4 linked regions of the Coturnix japonica genome follow. The protein of the gene in region 1 interacts with the protein of each later gene in a pairwise test. Links are inferred from orthologs where the notes say so. Each region holds a gene or a part of one and is shown in the gene's direction. Other genes may lie near its edges.

Region 1 (3,560 bases):
TACATTGTTGCACTCATCCGTGGTAATCCTTTTTTTATTCAGGTGATATTCATGGTCAGTATACAGATTTGCTTCGACTATTTGAATACGGAGGATTCCCACCAGAAGCAAATTATCTTTTCCTTGGAGATTATGTAGACAGAGGCAAACAGTCTCTGGAAACCATTTGCCTACTTCTGGCATATAAAATAAAGTACCCAGAAAACTTCTTTCTCTTAAGAGGAAATCATGAGTGTGCTAGCATCAACCGGATCTATGGATTCTATGATGAATGTAAGTTAAACCTATTTCTTCTGAAAGGCTGATGTGTATTAATACTGTGTTTTGGAAGTACTTCTGGTAAATGACTCACGATTCATGTGCTATAAGAATTTCAGTGTTCTGTGAACCTGCTTTGAAACCTTCTCAAAGAGCCTATCAAAAGAAGGTTAAACTTAGAATTATTTTCTATTCTGTTGTTTCTGAAATGGTATTGTAGGAGTCTCTGAGTGTACTCAGGTTTCAGAAATAAAGCTGTGTGAAGACAGTCAGTTTACATCCCCAATCAAGTTGTAATACATGTTGTAGGTTGGCTTTAAGAAAATAGTCATCTTTTCCTAATCTCTCACACTGCTCTTGTAGGTAAGCGGAGGTTTAACATTAAGCTCTGGAAGACCTTCACAGACTGCTTTAACTGTTTGCCAATTGCAGCCATTGTGGATGAGAAGATCTTCTGCTGTCATGGAGGTAAATGGATGACTACTTTTAAAGGATGTGTCTAAGCTGTTCTTTGGATTATTGTTGTATTGAATTGCGAGGATGTGCATGTTCAGCTCACAATGTATATTGTCTGCAAAGGTTGTTGTTGTCTTGCTTTTTTCAGTACATCTGGCTGCTAAGAAATATTTTGCTTCCCAGTCATAAATGACCACTTGTGTCAGAGGGGCAAGTGCATCTAATTATTCCTGTCAATACATGAGAATTCATGCCTAATTTTTTGCTTCATGTCTTGTTGGCAAAGCTATGTACTGATGCATAGCAGATACTGGAATCTCTAGCTGTGAAATGAAAGAAAAAGCTTCACAAGTAACCCCAGCTCTGTGGTCTTGGCTTCTTTATCTGGTTTTGTAAGATGTTGGTGGAAGAGACCCCTGGCACATAGTCACAATCAAGCCTGATGCTTGAGTTGAGGCATTTGACATTGGATCAGTCATGGCTCCATCTGACTCCAAAGGATCCTGACTGTTGGAAAACATACATTCTGGGTACTGGTCCCTGTGCTGCACAATTTTTGTAGTGGAAGAAAAGGATTTGATTTGCAAGAAGGCTGTGACTTCTTCCTGTACTGGGACTTAGTCACTCTTCTTTGTCAAAAGAAACACCTCAGTGTTTTTATAGGAGGTGATACTTGGAGGATTCTGGGACCTTGTAGAGTACTATTGCAACAATTTAAACAATTGACAACGCTTTCGAATTACTTCTGTAGTAGCAAGAGCTATCCCACAGTCTTCCATCTATCTTTTTAATTAACTTCTTTACGCAGCAGCTTGATCCAGAAATGGTGTGGTAGGTATCATGTCTGCATTGCCAAGGAGGTGATTAGAAACCACTGGAATTGAGAGCTCTGCAGAAATCTACAGTTTGATTGAACAGCTCCACTAGGATTTAGATGTAACTTATACCTAAAATTCCTGTGCAGATTTCTCTGAAATGTGTACTGATGACTGCTGCCCTGTCTTTATTCAAGTATCTCTATGAGGGTTGTGCCTGTATGGAATGATCCAGCCTGCACTTGTATCGTGTATTGACAGGTTCTGCCTTCAGTGCCAGCTACTGTAAGCTTATCAGTCTTAAGCATAACATGCTTTTAGGTATTAGCTTTCCTTTGTAAATCCAAAACTAATACAGTGTTACACAGCTGAGTCTATAGCAGCTCCCAGGTGGTATTGATGTGTTAGAGAAATTACTTGTCTTCTCTGTTGAAGGATGGGGATCTTTTTTTTAAAACTGGTACCTACCTTAGGAGCTAAAGCTTGTAATTACAAGGAACAATTATGGGTTGCTCTGAAAGTAATGCCTCCTATTTATTTCTTTAATGGAGAATTCACGTCACCACTCCATGGACTGTCATTTTGACTGCTGCTGATTGTGGTGACACCACAACTTGTAATGACACGATCCAGGAAACTGTCACCTTCAGCCTATTATTTGTTCAGTATGTCCTGATTTGTTCTTCCTGTTCCTGTGAGAGCATTCATGGGAGCCACCTGGTGTGTATTTTGCAATATTCCAGTGTTTCCACTGTAGTTTCCAATGCACTGAAGCCAATATTTAGCTCTGTACATATTTTCACTGGCTGTAATACATGAATTCATGTTGATGAGTTGATCAAAGTACTCTTGATTTTTGCGGTGTGACAGCTGTGTGTGGCTGTCTGGAATGTGCCTCATCTTTCATGACACTGTTGCCACTGCTGAAACACACCACTTGTTGCCTTGCTGTGCTACCATCTGTTGTTTGGTCTCCATATGGAGGAATTCAGTGACGCACCTTTGCTTCACATGTGAAATTGACCGACTGCATCCTCAAGAAGCTTGCAGATGCCACTAAACTGAGTGGTACATTTGACGCACCAGAGGGAAGGGATGCCATCCGAAGGGACCTAGGCAGGCTTGAGAGGCGGCCAATGCCAGCTGCATGAAGTTCAACAAGGTCAAGTGCAAGGTCCTGCACCTAGGTCGAGGCAATCCCAAGCACAAGTAAAGGTTGGGTGGAGAATGGCTTGAGAACAACCCTGAGGAGAGAAAGATTTAGGAGTGTCAGTTGATGAAAGATCCAACATGAGTCAGCAACATGCGCTTGAAGCTCAGGAGACCAACTGTATTCTGGCATCAAGAGAAGTATGACCAGCAGATTGAGGGAAGTGATATTGCCCCTCTGCTCTGCTCTTGTAAGGTCCCATCTGCAGTACTGTGTTCAGTTCTGGGGACCTCAACAGATGAAGGACTGTGGGCTGTTGGAGCAGCTCCAGTGGAGGGCCACAGAGATGATCAGAGGGCTAGAGCACCTTCCCTGTGAGGGCAGGCTGAGAGTTAGTCTCAAGGAGAGAAGGCTCTGAGGGGATCTTAGAGCAGCCTCCTCCTAGTACCTGAAGTGGGCCTGTAGGAAAGCTGGTTACAGACTTCTCTAAGGGTGTGTAGTGACTGGATGAGGGGAAATGGCTTTAAACTGGAAGACTGCTTAACTGCTTTAAGCCATTGTAAGTCATAATGTTTTGGAAGGTATTTCTTTACCATCCACGTATGTTCTATTTTATTTTGGAACAGTGGAAAAACAATGGTAATAAAGTATTCAGATGTTTCAAGTAAATATTTATGCTTAAATGATAGAAAGTCCCCCAGGCTCCTGATTTTTGGCTATGAAATGAAGTGTAAAGCTCACAGAATGTGCTGTATGCTCCTAATAAATGAAGTGGACATTCAGCACTTAAGCTTTGCCCTTTTTCTGCTCTTTTCCAACCCTGTCCAAAATACGTTCCAGATTCCCTGAAGTCATGGACTGCCAGCGCCTTTTCATGGTGT
Region 2 (4,324 bases), on another chromosome or scaffold:
TAGCTTCTTCCCCATGCTATGCAGCAAGCAGAGAAGGGGAAGATCGCTCTTCCTCATCCCCCAACAAGCCAGGAGGGGTGGAAAGCTATGGGGAAATCAGTAAGACCACTGTGCAAGGGCTCAGTGCAAAGCTAAATATAGCCATTATCTCTGCTCCCAAAAGATAAGAGCCTGTGTCCACAGCCCGCCACAATGCCCTGCCCTGGCTTCCACCTACCTTTGCTTCAGAGGCAAACAGTAGGCAGCAGTTGTGAAGCAATTCGCCCTGCACAAGGCAAACAGAGCTTCTATCACGCGACAGAAATGCACCCTGAGCCACCGTGCTGAGCCAGGCTGCGGTAGCGCTGCCTGGAGATGGCTGTGCAGACCCAAGGGCCTTTTGGGGCCTCTGTCCATTGCTCTTGGGCAAATCCTTGCTACCCCGCATCCCTGCACAAACCTTGTCGCCAATCAGCCCTGCTGAAATTCCACACTGCCGCTGGCATGTAAAATACTGATCCACATCTCCAAGGGACCTGCAGTAGATTTCTCTCCCCAGCTTCCTTATCATTGCCTTTATCTAAAAGCAGGAACCTATGAGGCTAAAACAATGGTCTTTCCCCCCAACACAACCCTTTTGCATCGCTTTGCATCGCGGAGCAGCGAGTTGATTAAGCAGCAGCTTTACAGCAGGAAGTCTCTGGGTTTAACAATAGCCATGCCTGCTTCCACCGGCTAATTAAAAACAAATGTTGACTCTTCAATACCGCTTTTATGCTCTGGGAGGGAGGCGGGAGAGCAGCACTGCTCACATTGGTGTGCTCGGAGGCCAACAAGAGGCTGTTACTCCCAGCCTTGTCACCATTCCCAGCTCCCAGGAGGCGAGGAGGAGGTGTCGCCGCTGGAGCATTGAGTTGCCTTGGGATGGGCTTCTGCCGGCCGCTTGGCTCCCGCAGGTGGTTGTTCATAACACTGTCATTGTAAGAGACGACTTTCTCGTGTCTGTGAGAAGCTCAGTTTTTCCACTCCGTGCCCTAAATCTTGTCAGGAAATGCGATTTGGGAACGTCTCCTGGCATTTCTGCCCCAGAGCTTCAGCTATGGGACGGAAAGTGTGAGTAACCCTCGTTCCTCACCCCACCCCACCCCACCCCTCAGTGCAAACCGAACACCTTATTGAGGACAGCAGCCCCCTGAGAAGGCCTCGGGGCATTCCTGTCACCTTTGGCTGCTCGTTGCTGGCAAAACCCCCCGGGGTTGCACCAGTTTCATACCAGAGAGGCTCACAACGCCTGCTCAGGCACAGGAAATTCCCTCAGGAGACCCCAGGCATCCAGCTGGCTTTTAGAAACCCCCAATGCTCGCCCCAAACACCCCCCCCCCCCCCCCAACCCACCCCAGCGAGCGCAGCCCCCCACCCGGCTGGGTACGACACATCCAGCCCCATCGCCGCAGAGGAGGAGGGTTCCATTGAGGAGGACGGCACCCATTGGTCAGGCGGCAGGGAGGGAGGGGCGGGCGGTGCCTTTAAGGGTCCGCTGTGGGGCCACCCTGTTAGAGGTGGTGGTTCGGGGTTGGGGCTGTGTGAGCGGGCTCATGCGCTGCGTCAGGTACGGGCTGTATGGGGGACGGGGCTGTGTCACGGGGGGTATCCTGTAGGGGTCGTGGGGGTAACCAGGTCTGTGCTGTGGGAGTTGCTTGATACGGGGTTGGGCTCAGTTGGAGGGGGGGTGGTGAGTGGAATGCAGCCTTCCCCTTCTGAAAGGGGTGGTCCTGCTCGCTCCCTTTCCTCTGGTTTTCAAGTTGGATGTGCTTCAAGTCGTGCAAAGCAGGCAGGATGCTCCTGGCCTCTTAACGTTAAATGCTGGTTGTTACTGAGGCTTACAGAAGTACCTGAGCGCTGAATGGGAGATCAGGTGTATGGCTGCTGCTGGGAGGGGGTGCAGGTGAAGTTGTCCTTGGTTTGTTTGAAAGGAGGAAATGAGCTGTATGACATATGTGAGAAAGCCAGTGAAACCAGGAAGAGCTGAACGGCTTGGTGCTGGCAGACAGGTGGATCCGCTGTCTGTCCTTGTGCAGGTGCCCTTGAGCTTCAAAGAAGGCTTAAAGAAGAAATGCAGGAGGTAGCTGGTGTTAGGAAGCAAACCTTTGTCTATGCCTTTTAACGTAAGCAAGTGCTGCTGCTGAAGGGATGCTATGGAGGGCTGCCCTGTTGGTGCTGCAGGGTGGGAAAGTAAAGCACAGACTTGGAGAGAGCAGCTCTGTTGCTTTGTCTTGGCACAGGGACAGCTATCAAGTCCTATAGCTGGCTGTGTGTGGCTTTGGCAGCACGAGCCCTTGTGCGGTCAGCTGCTGCTGCTCTAGCAGTGAGACCGGCTTTGGAACATGGTCTGCAGCCAAACAGGGAATTTAATTAAGGAAGTAGCCTGCCTTCAAGATATGGGTGCACAGAGGGACTGTGCTGTGTCACTGGGAGCTGGATGCTAGAGGAGGAGATGCTGTGGTGGAGAGACACGCAATCTGTGCCTCTGAGGGGAGGGCTTATTTCCAAAGCCTCTGTCAGCCTTGAGTACATCACACAGCTTGCCTGCTCTAGCTACACTGATGTTTCTTTAAGTGTTTTGTAGGCTTAAGGTGTGCATTCTGCGTGGAGGAGGAACCTTCTGGCTGCCTGATACCTGTTTTAAAGTGCGAAGTGGGAAGAAAGTTGCTCTTCTATAAGTGTAAAGTGAGAATCAGTAGGACCAAGTAGCCACAGATCTTTGGTTTAAGTCAGAGGTGTTCCAGAGCCTGCTATTGCAAGCCTAAAAGGGTGATGACTGCATGTGCCTTAGCATGGTGACTTTGTAGCAAGCAATGGGAAGTTGTCTTGCCCTTGAGGGGATGTAACAGGCTATGGCTGAGCCACAGCACTGTGGTAGCACGCTTCCCAACATATCTGTAAGTCAAGCAAGTACTGGCCTCTGACAGAGCTTGAGGGACTTTGGGGGTGATGGAAACTGAGCTTCTTTAGGATGGATGGGGAATAGTGTAGCAACTATCTGACAAGTCACTGAAATGCTTCTCTGACATAAACTGCTCCTTCTTTTGATCTTTCAGTGTAATAGACTATTTTCCTCACAAACAAGCAATGGCTGTGGATGTAGCAATGCAGCTGTACCTGTGCTCCTCACCCTTGCGAAGAGAGAGGTGTGCCTGCAAAATTGCCCCAAAGCCAAACAAGCCATTGCGGCCGTGCATCCAGCTGAACAGCAAGGCAGTACTGACTGGACCAGAAGAGGCAGAAAACTCCTTCACACACAACAAGGTGAAGAAGAAGGTGTCGTTTGCGGATAGCAGAGGCTTTGCTCTGACAATGGTGAAGGTGTTCTCAGAGTTCGATGATCCTCTAGATATTCCTTTCAACATCACCGAGCTGATCGACAACATTGTGAGTCTGACAACAGTAGAGAGGGACAGCTTTGTCCTGGACTTTGTCCAGCCCTCTGCAGACTACCTGGACTTCAGAAACCGTCTTCAGACAGACTGCGTGTGCCTTGAAAACTGTATGTTAAAGGAGCGCTCTGTTGTGGGCACAGTGAAAGTGAGGAATCTGGCTTTTGAAAAGTCCGTGAGGATCAGGATGACATTTGACACCTGGAAAAACTTTGTAGATTTCCCGTGCCAATATGTCAAGGATACGTACGGAGGATCAGATCGGGACACTTTTTCTTTCGACATCAGCTTGCCCGATGGAATTCAATCCCATGAAAGAGTTGAGTTTGCCGTCTCCTTTGAGTGCAATGGCAAGGTGTACTGGGACAGCAACAGGGGCACAAATTACAGAATCATACGCTCAGAACTGAAGTCTGCCCAGGAAGCCCTCCGCCCCCCGTGCAGCCCAGACTTCAGCAGTGCCTTTGACCAGTTTGGGAGTCCTCGGTGCGCCTATGGTCTGTTTGCCGAGTGGCCAAGCTATTCAGGATACGAAAAGCTAGGGCCCTATTACTGACATAAGGACCTAATGTTCTGACTGACTGTTGGTGGTGCCTGCAGACGTGGGAGTCTTCCTAAACACGAGGTGTGTGGAAAGGTGGAAGAAGTGAGGCTCCCTGTAGCACTGCATAAGCCTCCCAGCAAAAAGAAAAGTGCAGTACTCTGCTGGCAGTTGGCTTATAATCAGGGGTGCATCTCTAATGCAGAGGGCTGCCTTCCCTGTCTCAAGTCAGATAGCAGACTCTCCAGATGATCAAAAGAAAAGGAGATGTCGCTTGCCTGTCTGTTCAGTGCTGCTACTCCTTCCTCTTCTGTAAAGCTGCTAGTCTCCAGGGATACACTACAGTGCTTGGGTTGTCTGCTGAAGCTAT
Region 3 (4,218 bases), on another chromosome or scaffold:
GGTGATGAGGAACAGCCACGGTGCTCCCATGGACTGTGAGTCCCCCTCACTTCCAGCACCGGGACATGAGAGCGGAGATCCAGAAGCTCCCATTGGCCTCAGAACCCAGAGCTGCTCCTTCTCAGCCCTTTCCTCGCCCTCACAGCTGCAAAGCACCCATGGGTGCTGCTACTGCTGGCTCAATGGGCAGAGTTCAGCTCTGGGACCTCAAAGCTGCACGAGGGTTTTTCCTGGCTCCGTTTTACCAGCAGCTCCTGTGACGTTCAGGCTGGTGAGAGGACATGAAGGAAACCAGCCCGGTGCTGCCGGCCCCGTGGGGCTGAGCGGGTCTCAATCACACACACGGGGTGGTGGGAGAGGCCTGGCAGGGATTCCCTGCAGCACTTTGGCTGTGATGGAAGTTGGGCTGTTGGGCTTTTTCTCCTTTCCTCCACCATGGAAGCGCTGTTGGGACCCGCAGGGATCACCCAGCCCAACTCCCCACAGGACTCACCCAAAGGGGGGGCAGTTTGCTGCATGTTTTTGTGGTTTCAAGTGAAAGGGAGAAAAATCCCCCATTCCTGGGCTGGAAACCTGGAGATGGACCAGAGCACTGAGCTCATGGCTGCAATTGTGTCCTGCCCCAGCTCTGCAGATGGAAATGGGGGGAAATGGGGTGAGTTTGGGACTCAGCCTCAATGGGACATTCAACTCAACTCAATGGGATGCTCAGCTCGATTCAATGGGACAGTCAGCTCAATGGGACACTGAGCTCAGTGGGATGCTCAGCTCTATGGGACACTCAGCTCAATGCAATGGGATGCTCAGTGGGACCCTGAGCTCAGCTCTATGGGATGCGTTGCTCTATGGGATGCTCATCTCATCTCAATGGGACATTGATGTCAATGTGACGCTCAGCTCACTGGTCTCAATGTGCCACTCACCTCGGAGCTGTTCTCAGCCCAATTCAAGGTTCGGTTCGGCCCAATGCAGCCGCCCCCCCCCGCCTCCGTGTGATCCCCAGCTCGGCCCAATGGCGGTTCGGCTGCAGAGAGGACCCGGTTCGGTTCTGCAGATGGACTCATTGCGTTCAATGGGGCTCAGCTCGGTTCGGTTCGGCCCAGCGGTACCGCAGCTCGTTGTGCAGGATGTGGATCCGCTCCAGTCGGTACCGGGGGGTTCGGGCGGTACCGGGGTCGGTACCGGGGGTTCGGGTCCCATCCCGCTGTGTAACGGAGCCGGGTCCGGTAAAGTTTTGTACGGACTCTGTAGCTGTGAATGGGGCTGGGATGGGGGGGGGGGGGGGGTGTCTCCCACTTCCGCACTCCATTCCCGCCCCTCCCGGACTCGCTTTCCCGTCACCCCTCGCGGGTGGGGGGTAGGGGGCGGAGCTTGATGTCACGTGACTAGCGGTATATAAGGCGCGGCCCCATTGTTGTCGGCAGACGGCGGCGGGGCGGGCCGCGCGGCCGCGACCGGGCCGAGAAACGGAGACACGGGCCGCCCCCCGCCGAACCGGGACCGAACCGGGACCGAGGGGAGACGTGAGTGGGGGGGTGTGGGGTCTATAGGAGGTCTATAGGGGGTCTATAGGGGATGGGGGCTCTGAAGGTGGGAGGCTCTGGGGCTGAGGGGGGTCCATAAGGGATAAAGGGGGGGGGCTGGAAATGGGAGCCTATAGATGTATAGGGTGACGGCCTTAAAGATGGATATAAGGATATAAGGGATGACGGCCTTGAGGATGGACGGGTGTAGGCGGCCCTATAGGGGTGGGATATGGGAGCCTATGGCCTATAGGAGGTCTATAGGAGGTGAGGACATTAAGGATGGGGGCTATAGGGGATGGGGGGGGTGTATAGGGGCTGTAGGGAGCCTGTAGGGGTTGGGGGGGCTGGAAGATGGGAGCTGATAGAGGACATAGGGGGTGTATGAGGAGTGTGGGCCTTAAGGATGGAGGGGTGGTGGGGATGGAGGCCTATAGGGGCCTATGGGGGATGGGCCTGGAGAATGGGGGCTTATAGGGGCTGTAAGAGGTGAGGGCCCTAATGATGGAGGGATGTAGGAGATGAAGGCCGTGAAGGTGGAGGCCTGTAGGAAACCTATAGGGGTTGGAGCCTTGAGAACAGGGAGGATGTAGAGACTATAAGGAGCCTATAGGGTGTGTATGGAGGCTTATAGGTCACGTAGGAGACCTTAAATATAGAAGCATGTAAGGGATGGGGGGGGGTTACAGTTGGGGTGGGCTGAAGATGGAACGATAGAAGCAATAGGAGCCCCCCCCCCACCTTCAGAGCTGCCCCTTTTTCCACTCCTGCTTTTTGGGGGCTGCCCTTTCTTATCCCTTCCCCTTTTAGGACCCCCTTCCTTTTGGGGACCCCTCCTTTAGTCTCCAGCTTTTTAGTGTTCCCCTGTTTTTTATCCCCAGCTTTCTAGGACCCCCCCCCCCCCACATTTTACTGCCCCCTGCTTTTGGGGGCTGCATTGTCCCCCCCGCCTGCCAGCAGCCCTGCACTGCTGCTCATTGCAACGCATGTTGTGTAAGTGCTGCTGCTGTGTGAGCTGCAGCCTGGAACATCCACAGGGCTCAGCTGTGGGATCCCCTGATCCCAAAGAGGAGATCCCCGATCCCAAGGAGGGATCCAGTCTGCCCTAAACTGGGGAGCCCAGTGCTCCAATGGGGCCACCCCAGTGCAGAGCAGAGTGGGGAGCTGCTTCAGGCCTCCAGGGCACAGTGCTGGTTTGTGATCACCCCATAGCCGACCACTGGTCAACTCTTGGTTAACCAGTTGGCTTCCATTGGCCTTCATGGCCACCAGGACACCCTGCTGGCTTCTGCTCAGCTCTTGGTCAACCAGTGGCCAACTGTGGGTTAACCAGGTTAACCAGGTCAACCAGGACACCACCAGGACCAAGGGCTCTCGTTATGGGAGAGGTGCTGGTTGTGTCCCCCCCCCCCGGCCTTGTGTTACACCTGGATGGGAGCAGCAGCGTGAGGAGGAGCTCGGGGAGATGAGGGGTGGGTGGGATGGTGGAGGGATGGATGGATAGAGGGGTGGGTAAGGGATGGGTGGGATGGTGGAGGGATGGAGGGATGGATGGATGGATGGATTGATGGGCAGATTAATGGGTGGACAGAAGGGTGGACAGAAGGGATGGTGGAGGGATGGACGGACAGGAGGATGAATGGATGGCAGCTGGATGATGGCGGGGTGTACAGAGTCGGGTGATGGACAGACAGACGGATGCTGATGCTGACAGCTTCCTCCGGAGCCGTTTGTTCTGTTGCCATGAGAACCGTCGCTGCTGCAGTGATGGAGCAGAGCAGAGCGGGGCTGAGCAGCTTCAGCTCTGCCCATGTCCCTGTCCCCAAATCCCCCCACCCAGCCCCCCCAGGCACAGCCCTGTTGCCGGCTGAGCTCTGCTGTGTGCTGAGGACACCCCACACTTGGGGGTTTGGGTGCAGGAGATGCAGAGCTCAGTGGGGAAGGCGGCTTTGCACATTGCTACACCATGGGCCCAGCTCTGCCAATGGTGTTGGTCCAGTTATGGGGACCCCCCAGACACCCCCCACCACCATCCCCATCCTGCAGGTCCCCGCTGACCCCATGGATGCCATCGGCAGCGGCCGCCTCAAGAGGAAGTTTGAGGATGCAGACGTGGGCTCCCCGGCGTCCAACTCCGACGATGAGATCTCCAACAGCGACAGCGCCGACAGCTGCGACAGCGTCAACCCTTCCAGCTCCAGCGGCTTCATCCGTGAGCGGGGGGACATGGGGATGGGGGGGGACACGGAGATGGGGAACGTGAGGATACGGGGTCGGAGGACACGGGGGGGGGAGGGATGGGAAGGGGGGTGGGCACAGGGACAGTGAGGGGACAGGAGTGAGGATGGGGACAGCAAACAGTGGTAGAGCCAAAAGGATGAGGATGGGGACATGGGATGGGGGTAAGATGTGGGTACAGCAAATGGTGATGGGGGGAGGACAGGGTTTAGGGACAGGAAAGAGTGTGAAAGTGAAGGGGCCGGGACATGGGGACAGCAAAGAGTGACCAAGTGAGGGGATGGGGGTGGGACATGGAGACAGTGAGAGAGTGAGGGGACAGGGCAGGAAGGGGTGACAGTGAGGGGAGGCAGTGGGGCTCCCGATCCCATCCCTCCTCCCTCCCCGCAGCCACCTCCATCCTGAAGAGGCAGAAGCAGCTGCGCAGGAAGAACGTGCGCTTCGACCAGGTGACGGT
Region 4 (4,321 bases), on another chromosome or scaffold:
ATCTAGGTGATGTTTAATGTCACCTACTGGCAGAAAGGGCAGGAACTTCAGTCACCAAGAGTCTTGCTAAGAAATTGAAGCCTTTCTGCCCTATGAATGCCTTCATTATACACACAGAGGCAGTGTATGGGTCTGTGTGCCACACTTCAGTCACTAGAGGAGACTTCTCCCTCCAGCACTTTCAGGGCTGTTTGTTTCTCTGCTACTACACAGCCTTAATCCAAGAGGAAGGCATCTTTTCGCCTGCCATGCCTTGGCCTGTGCTTAAGTGCTGTCTCCTAACAACCTCTCATGCACAGCAATAGAGCCTTTCATTCACAAACCATGTAAAGAAAAACAATTTGGATGAGCCAGAGAAATCCTATTATCTTCTATTCTTCTTCACCATAAGTCCCTTTTGTTCCATGTAGAGCATAGTGCTTCCTGTCATGCATTGTGCACAGAACTCATCTACTGATAAAAGCTCAGAATAGCTCACATACTCAGTATCATGAGTGCAGGGCTGCACTTGGGAGAGAGTGGGCAGGAAGGTGACAGTGAAACCATGCAGCCACACCAGGCTCACACAGTTGTGGGGGCAGGCAGTGATGGTGTGACTGTCGTCACACTGCAGAGACCGCGTGCTACTGCTTTCTGCCCCTTTGCTCTAGAAATAGCTAACAGCTACAACGTGGGAAGTACAGCAGGACCTCCAGTACCCTCACACTGCTGTGTGTGGAGCTGAACAGCCAATAGTACCATGCAAAAGAAACCTCCAGTTTTGTCAGTTCAGTCAAGGCCAAGTATAGCCCAGGATGACAGACTTCAGGCCCTGGCAACACAAGTATCCAGCTCTTTTTAGTCAAATCTGAGTCTGCAGTTTCAAGCTGGTGTTACTCTTGTTCTGTTAGGTAGTGTCCTGCTAAAGCAGCAGCAGGAAGAAGCCCCACATTGACACGTTAAAGTGTTCTCTTGGAAGTCTTGTAGAGCAAACCCATTTGCTTTTCTAGCTCTGGCAAAGGCCCACTACCTCTGAGCCCCATCTGAAGCTCCAGCCACCCCCGAGCCGTACCGAGGCCACGTCACCCCCATAAGGGATGCAAGAGGTGCAGACAGGCTGATCGGGACAAAGGAGAGCTCCCCATTGCAAAGACCGCTGTGAGACAAGCAGCCGGCACTGTCGACCGCGTACAGCCAACACAGCAAAGCTCGGGCTCTCAGGGGCAAGAATATCCAAGTTATTTAAAGCACAGCAGTTTTGGAAACGACTCTGCGGGATGTGCGGGGGGGGGAGGGGTGGGCATGGGGAGAGGAGAGCCCTGGATGCAGCAGGAAGCAACGGCACGGCAGCACCACGCGCCGAGCATCGCACCGACCGAACAATAACAACCACCGAAGCCCCAGGGGGCGGCACTCGGCACCGCCCGCCCCACAGCCGTGACCACGTGGAGAAACAGCGGCCTCCCCCCCCCCCACGCGGCCCCCCGGCACGCACAGCCCCGCCGCGCCGCGCCCCGGGGCAGGACCGAGCCCGGAGCATAAAGGGAGCGGAGCGAGGGGGCTGCGGAGTAACCGCCCCGCACTGCTCGCCATCGGCCGCAGGTGAGCGCTGCTGGCTCCGCTGCCCGCGCTGCGGCTGCTCTCCCTCGGGTCGGTTCGGTTCTAGCGTGCGCTTCCAGCCCCGCAGAAGGAAGTAAGTAAAGGGGAGGGGGGAATAAAATCTTCATCCTTTGGGGGAATGTACTTTTGCACTGCGCTACTTTGATTTTTATCAGGCTTGTAGAAGCGTTTAGCGCTTGCATAGTGCCTTGTGAATGCTGCTCAACTCTATCATCTTTTGCTGGCAGATTTTTGCCTCTCCTAGCAGCGTAGCCCTTTATTTTTGTTTTGTTTTTAATGTTGTATAACGTTATGAGCAGCAGCCTATGGAGCTCGTCATGGAAACTAGAGAGAATACAATACTGATGCTGCTAAAAGCCAAACAAAACTTGATAAATTTGATGCCAGTACTCCACTACCTATTATGGTAAATGCTGCCATAGCTTAAGAAAGGGGGGGAAAAAAAGCAAGAAGAACGAAGAGGTCAGTGCAGATTCTGCTTTTTTTGGCAGTGCTCTGGAATACCAGTGAGAACACTGGGAAGAAGAATGCCATTTATTTAAGTGACAAAGCAAGTGCTCTTTCTTCCCATGACTCAACAGAACTCCATATTTCCAGCAAGGATTGGATCTTTACCAGAAGAGATGCACTGCAGTAGGAGCCCCTTCTGCAAATACTGCTAACCGACCGTGGTTTCAGAGTCATAGAATTACAGAGTACATCAAGTTGGAAGTGAACTGCAAGGACCACAGAGTCCAACTGTGGGCTCCTTGTAGGACCATCCAAAACCCCAGTCATATTTCTGAGAGCATTTTGTAAAATAATCGTGGTTTTCATCGTCTGAGAGTCAGGTTTAGGAACAAATCTAAACAAAGAAAGCTGTAGCATTCTTATGAAATGCTTGCATTAGGTATGGACTTTGGGGAATATAAGGAATGGAATGTTTTTAATACGTTACTCAAAACACAAGATGAAGACAATTCTCCTTCAGCTCCTTTATTCTTTCCCCCACTTACTCAGCAATGCTCACAATGCAAACCAGCTTTTTTAACTAGACCTGGGTTAATAGCTCAAAACTGATTTAACCAAAGCCAAGCTGGGACAGGTAACTTGATTACTCTAGTGCTGTCTGCTCGGGTGCAGCAGCTGATCCACCCTGTTAGATTTTTAAGACTAGGCTCACAGTCACTGAAAGAAATTGAAGTGGATGAGCACTTTCACTGCAGGTGGATCTGTTTGTACTGGTACATTAGGATGTGCTTTATTAGCTGTTTCTAAAATCCATGTTTCAGAGGTTTGGAAAAAGCAAATTACATTCGTATTGAAAGACTGCAGAATTGTAAAGAAATGACAGTATGTTCATTCTTTTTCCTCTCTTGAACTGTCAATATTAATTTAGGCTGCATTATTTAAAGCTGTGCAAAGACCAGGTTGTGAATAATTAAGACAGCAGATGAAGCACATATGCATTCTTAACAAGCTTTTCCCCAATGTATCAAATAATAATATGCTGTCTTTCTGCTCCTTTCAGAATGATTCAGATCTTAGATCCGAGACCCTTGCCAAATTCCATCATGCCTGTGGATGTGGCCATGAGAATCTGCTTAGCTCATTCACCTCCACTGAAGAGCTTCCTCAGCCCCCTTGAGGGCTGCCAGAGAAATAACTTTGTGAACAAATTCAAACCTCTCAGACCCTGTCTCCATGTGAAACGTGATTCTGAAGCACAGAAGAGTGACTGGAACCACTCAGCAGCCCGAGCCAAGAAGCGAGTTGTGTTTGCAGACTCAAAGGGGCTCTCCCTGACGGCAATACACACCTTCTCAGAGTTCCAGGAGCACCCTGGCTGGGATCTCCAGTTTGATCTTATAAGTCTCGAAAACATAACGTCTAACCTGAAGCTTCACGAGGAGAAAAACTTGATTCTGGATTTCCCTCGTCCCTCAGCTGACTACCTGGACTTCAGGAACCGCCTGCAGAGGAACTTGGTCTGCCTGGAGAACTGCAGCCTACAAGAGAAGGTGTTGTCAGGCACTGTGAAAGTAAAAAATGTGAGCTTTGAGAAGAAGGTTCAGGTTCGAATCACCTTTGATACGTGGAAGACTTACACGGACATTGAGTGTGTGTACATGAACAATGTTTATGGTGATTCTGAAAATGATACCTTCTCATTTACTATTGACTTGCCTCCTGCCATTCCTTCTCAAGAGAAAATTGAGTTCTGCATTTCCTACCAAAGTGGCGAGCGTACCTTCTGGGACAATAATGAGGGGCAGAACTACAAGATTCTCCATGCAGAGTGGAAATCTGATGGTGTTCGGATACCATCTGCCACAAAGGACTGTTTTGATGTTCCAGCTCCAAGGAAAGGGCAAGAGAGAGAGCCCGATCAGCTCGGCAGCCCAAGGCTGTCCAGTGGCCTCTTCCCCCAGTGGCAGAGCTCAGGTGGGATTGAAAATTCATCACCATATTGGTGATAGACACTAGCTTGGAAATATTATTCCACTTGGCAGCAAACCAGTGTTAGCTTTCTGGTTCACAGAACTATATAACAAAACCACCCGGCAGGTGTGGCTGCCTTTACAACTCCAAACTCAGCAGTCTCGTTAAGCCATATTATGTTCTTGAAGTTCTTAGCCAAAACTTATCCTTGGAAAGAAAGACAAACGAGATAAAACCCGTGTGTATACCACCTACTAGAAATAGCATGCCTGTATCTTAAGTATATGCTGTGTGCTTTCTG

What was found.
Region 2: the proteins of PPP1CB (region 1) and PPP1R3B interact in a two-hybrid assay, tested with the Homo sapiens proteins (2 studies listed by BioGRID and IntAct). The link is inferred for Coturnix japonica from reciprocal best matches to the Homo sapiens genes PPP1CB and PPP1R3B.
Region 3: the proteins of PPP1CB (region 1) and CSRNP2 interact in binary tests that used the Homo sapiens proteins (3 or more experiments, as listed by UniProt). The two-hybrid records come from large-scale screens. The link is inferred for Coturnix japonica from reciprocal best matches to the Homo sapiens genes PPP1CB and CSRNP2.
Region 4: the proteins of PPP1CB (region 1) and PPP1R3C interact in binary tests that used the Homo sapiens proteins (3 or more experiments, as listed by UniProt). The two-hybrid records come from large-scale screens. The link is inferred for Coturnix japonica from reciprocal best matches to the Homo sapiens genes PPP1CB and PPP1R3C.

What each region holds. Positions count from the first base shown.
Region 1 is NC_029518.1:24,309,028-24,312,587, reverse strand, and holds part of PPP1CB (serine/threonine-protein phosphatase PP1-beta catalytic subunit), read left to right. Parts: intron 1-42; coding exon 43-273; intron 274-621; coding exon 622-726; intron 727-3,560. UniProt on the Homo sapiens protein: Protein phosphatase that associates with over 200 regulatory proteins to form highly specific holoenzymes which dephosphorylate hundreds of biological targets.
Region 2 is NC_029519.1:44,186,779-44,191,102, reverse strand, and holds the start of PPP1R3B (protein phosphatase 1 regulatory subunit 3B), read left to right. Parts: upstream 1-1,501; 5' UTR 1,502-1,574; coding exon 1,575-1,588; intron 1,589-3,077; coding exon 3,078-3,969; 3' UTR 3,970-4,324. UniProt on the Homo sapiens protein: Acts as a glycogen-targeting subunit for phosphatase PP1. Facilitates interaction of the PP1 with enzymes of the glycogen metabolism and regulates its activity.
Region 3 is NC_029544.1:1,405,227-1,409,444, forward strand, and holds the start of CSRNP2 (cysteine/serine-rich nuclear protein 2), read left to right. Parts: upstream 1-1,389; 5' UTR 1,390-1,523; intron 1,524-3,569; 5' UTR 3,570-3,584; coding exon 3,585-3,735; intron 3,736-4,151; coding exon 4,152-4,218. UniProt on the Homo sapiens protein: Binds to the consensus sequence 5'-AGAGTG-3' and has transcriptional activator activity. May play a role in apoptosis.
Region 4 is NC_029521.1:17,281,244-17,285,564, reverse strand, and holds the start of PPP1R3C (protein phosphatase 1 regulatory subunit 3C), read left to right. Parts: upstream 1-1,507; 5' UTR 1,508-1,671; coding exon 1,672-1,672; intron 1,673-2,090; coding exon 2,091-2,232; intron 2,233-2,248; exon of another isoform or gene 2,249-2,488; intron 2,489-3,109; coding exon 3,110-4,055; 3' UTR 4,056-4,321.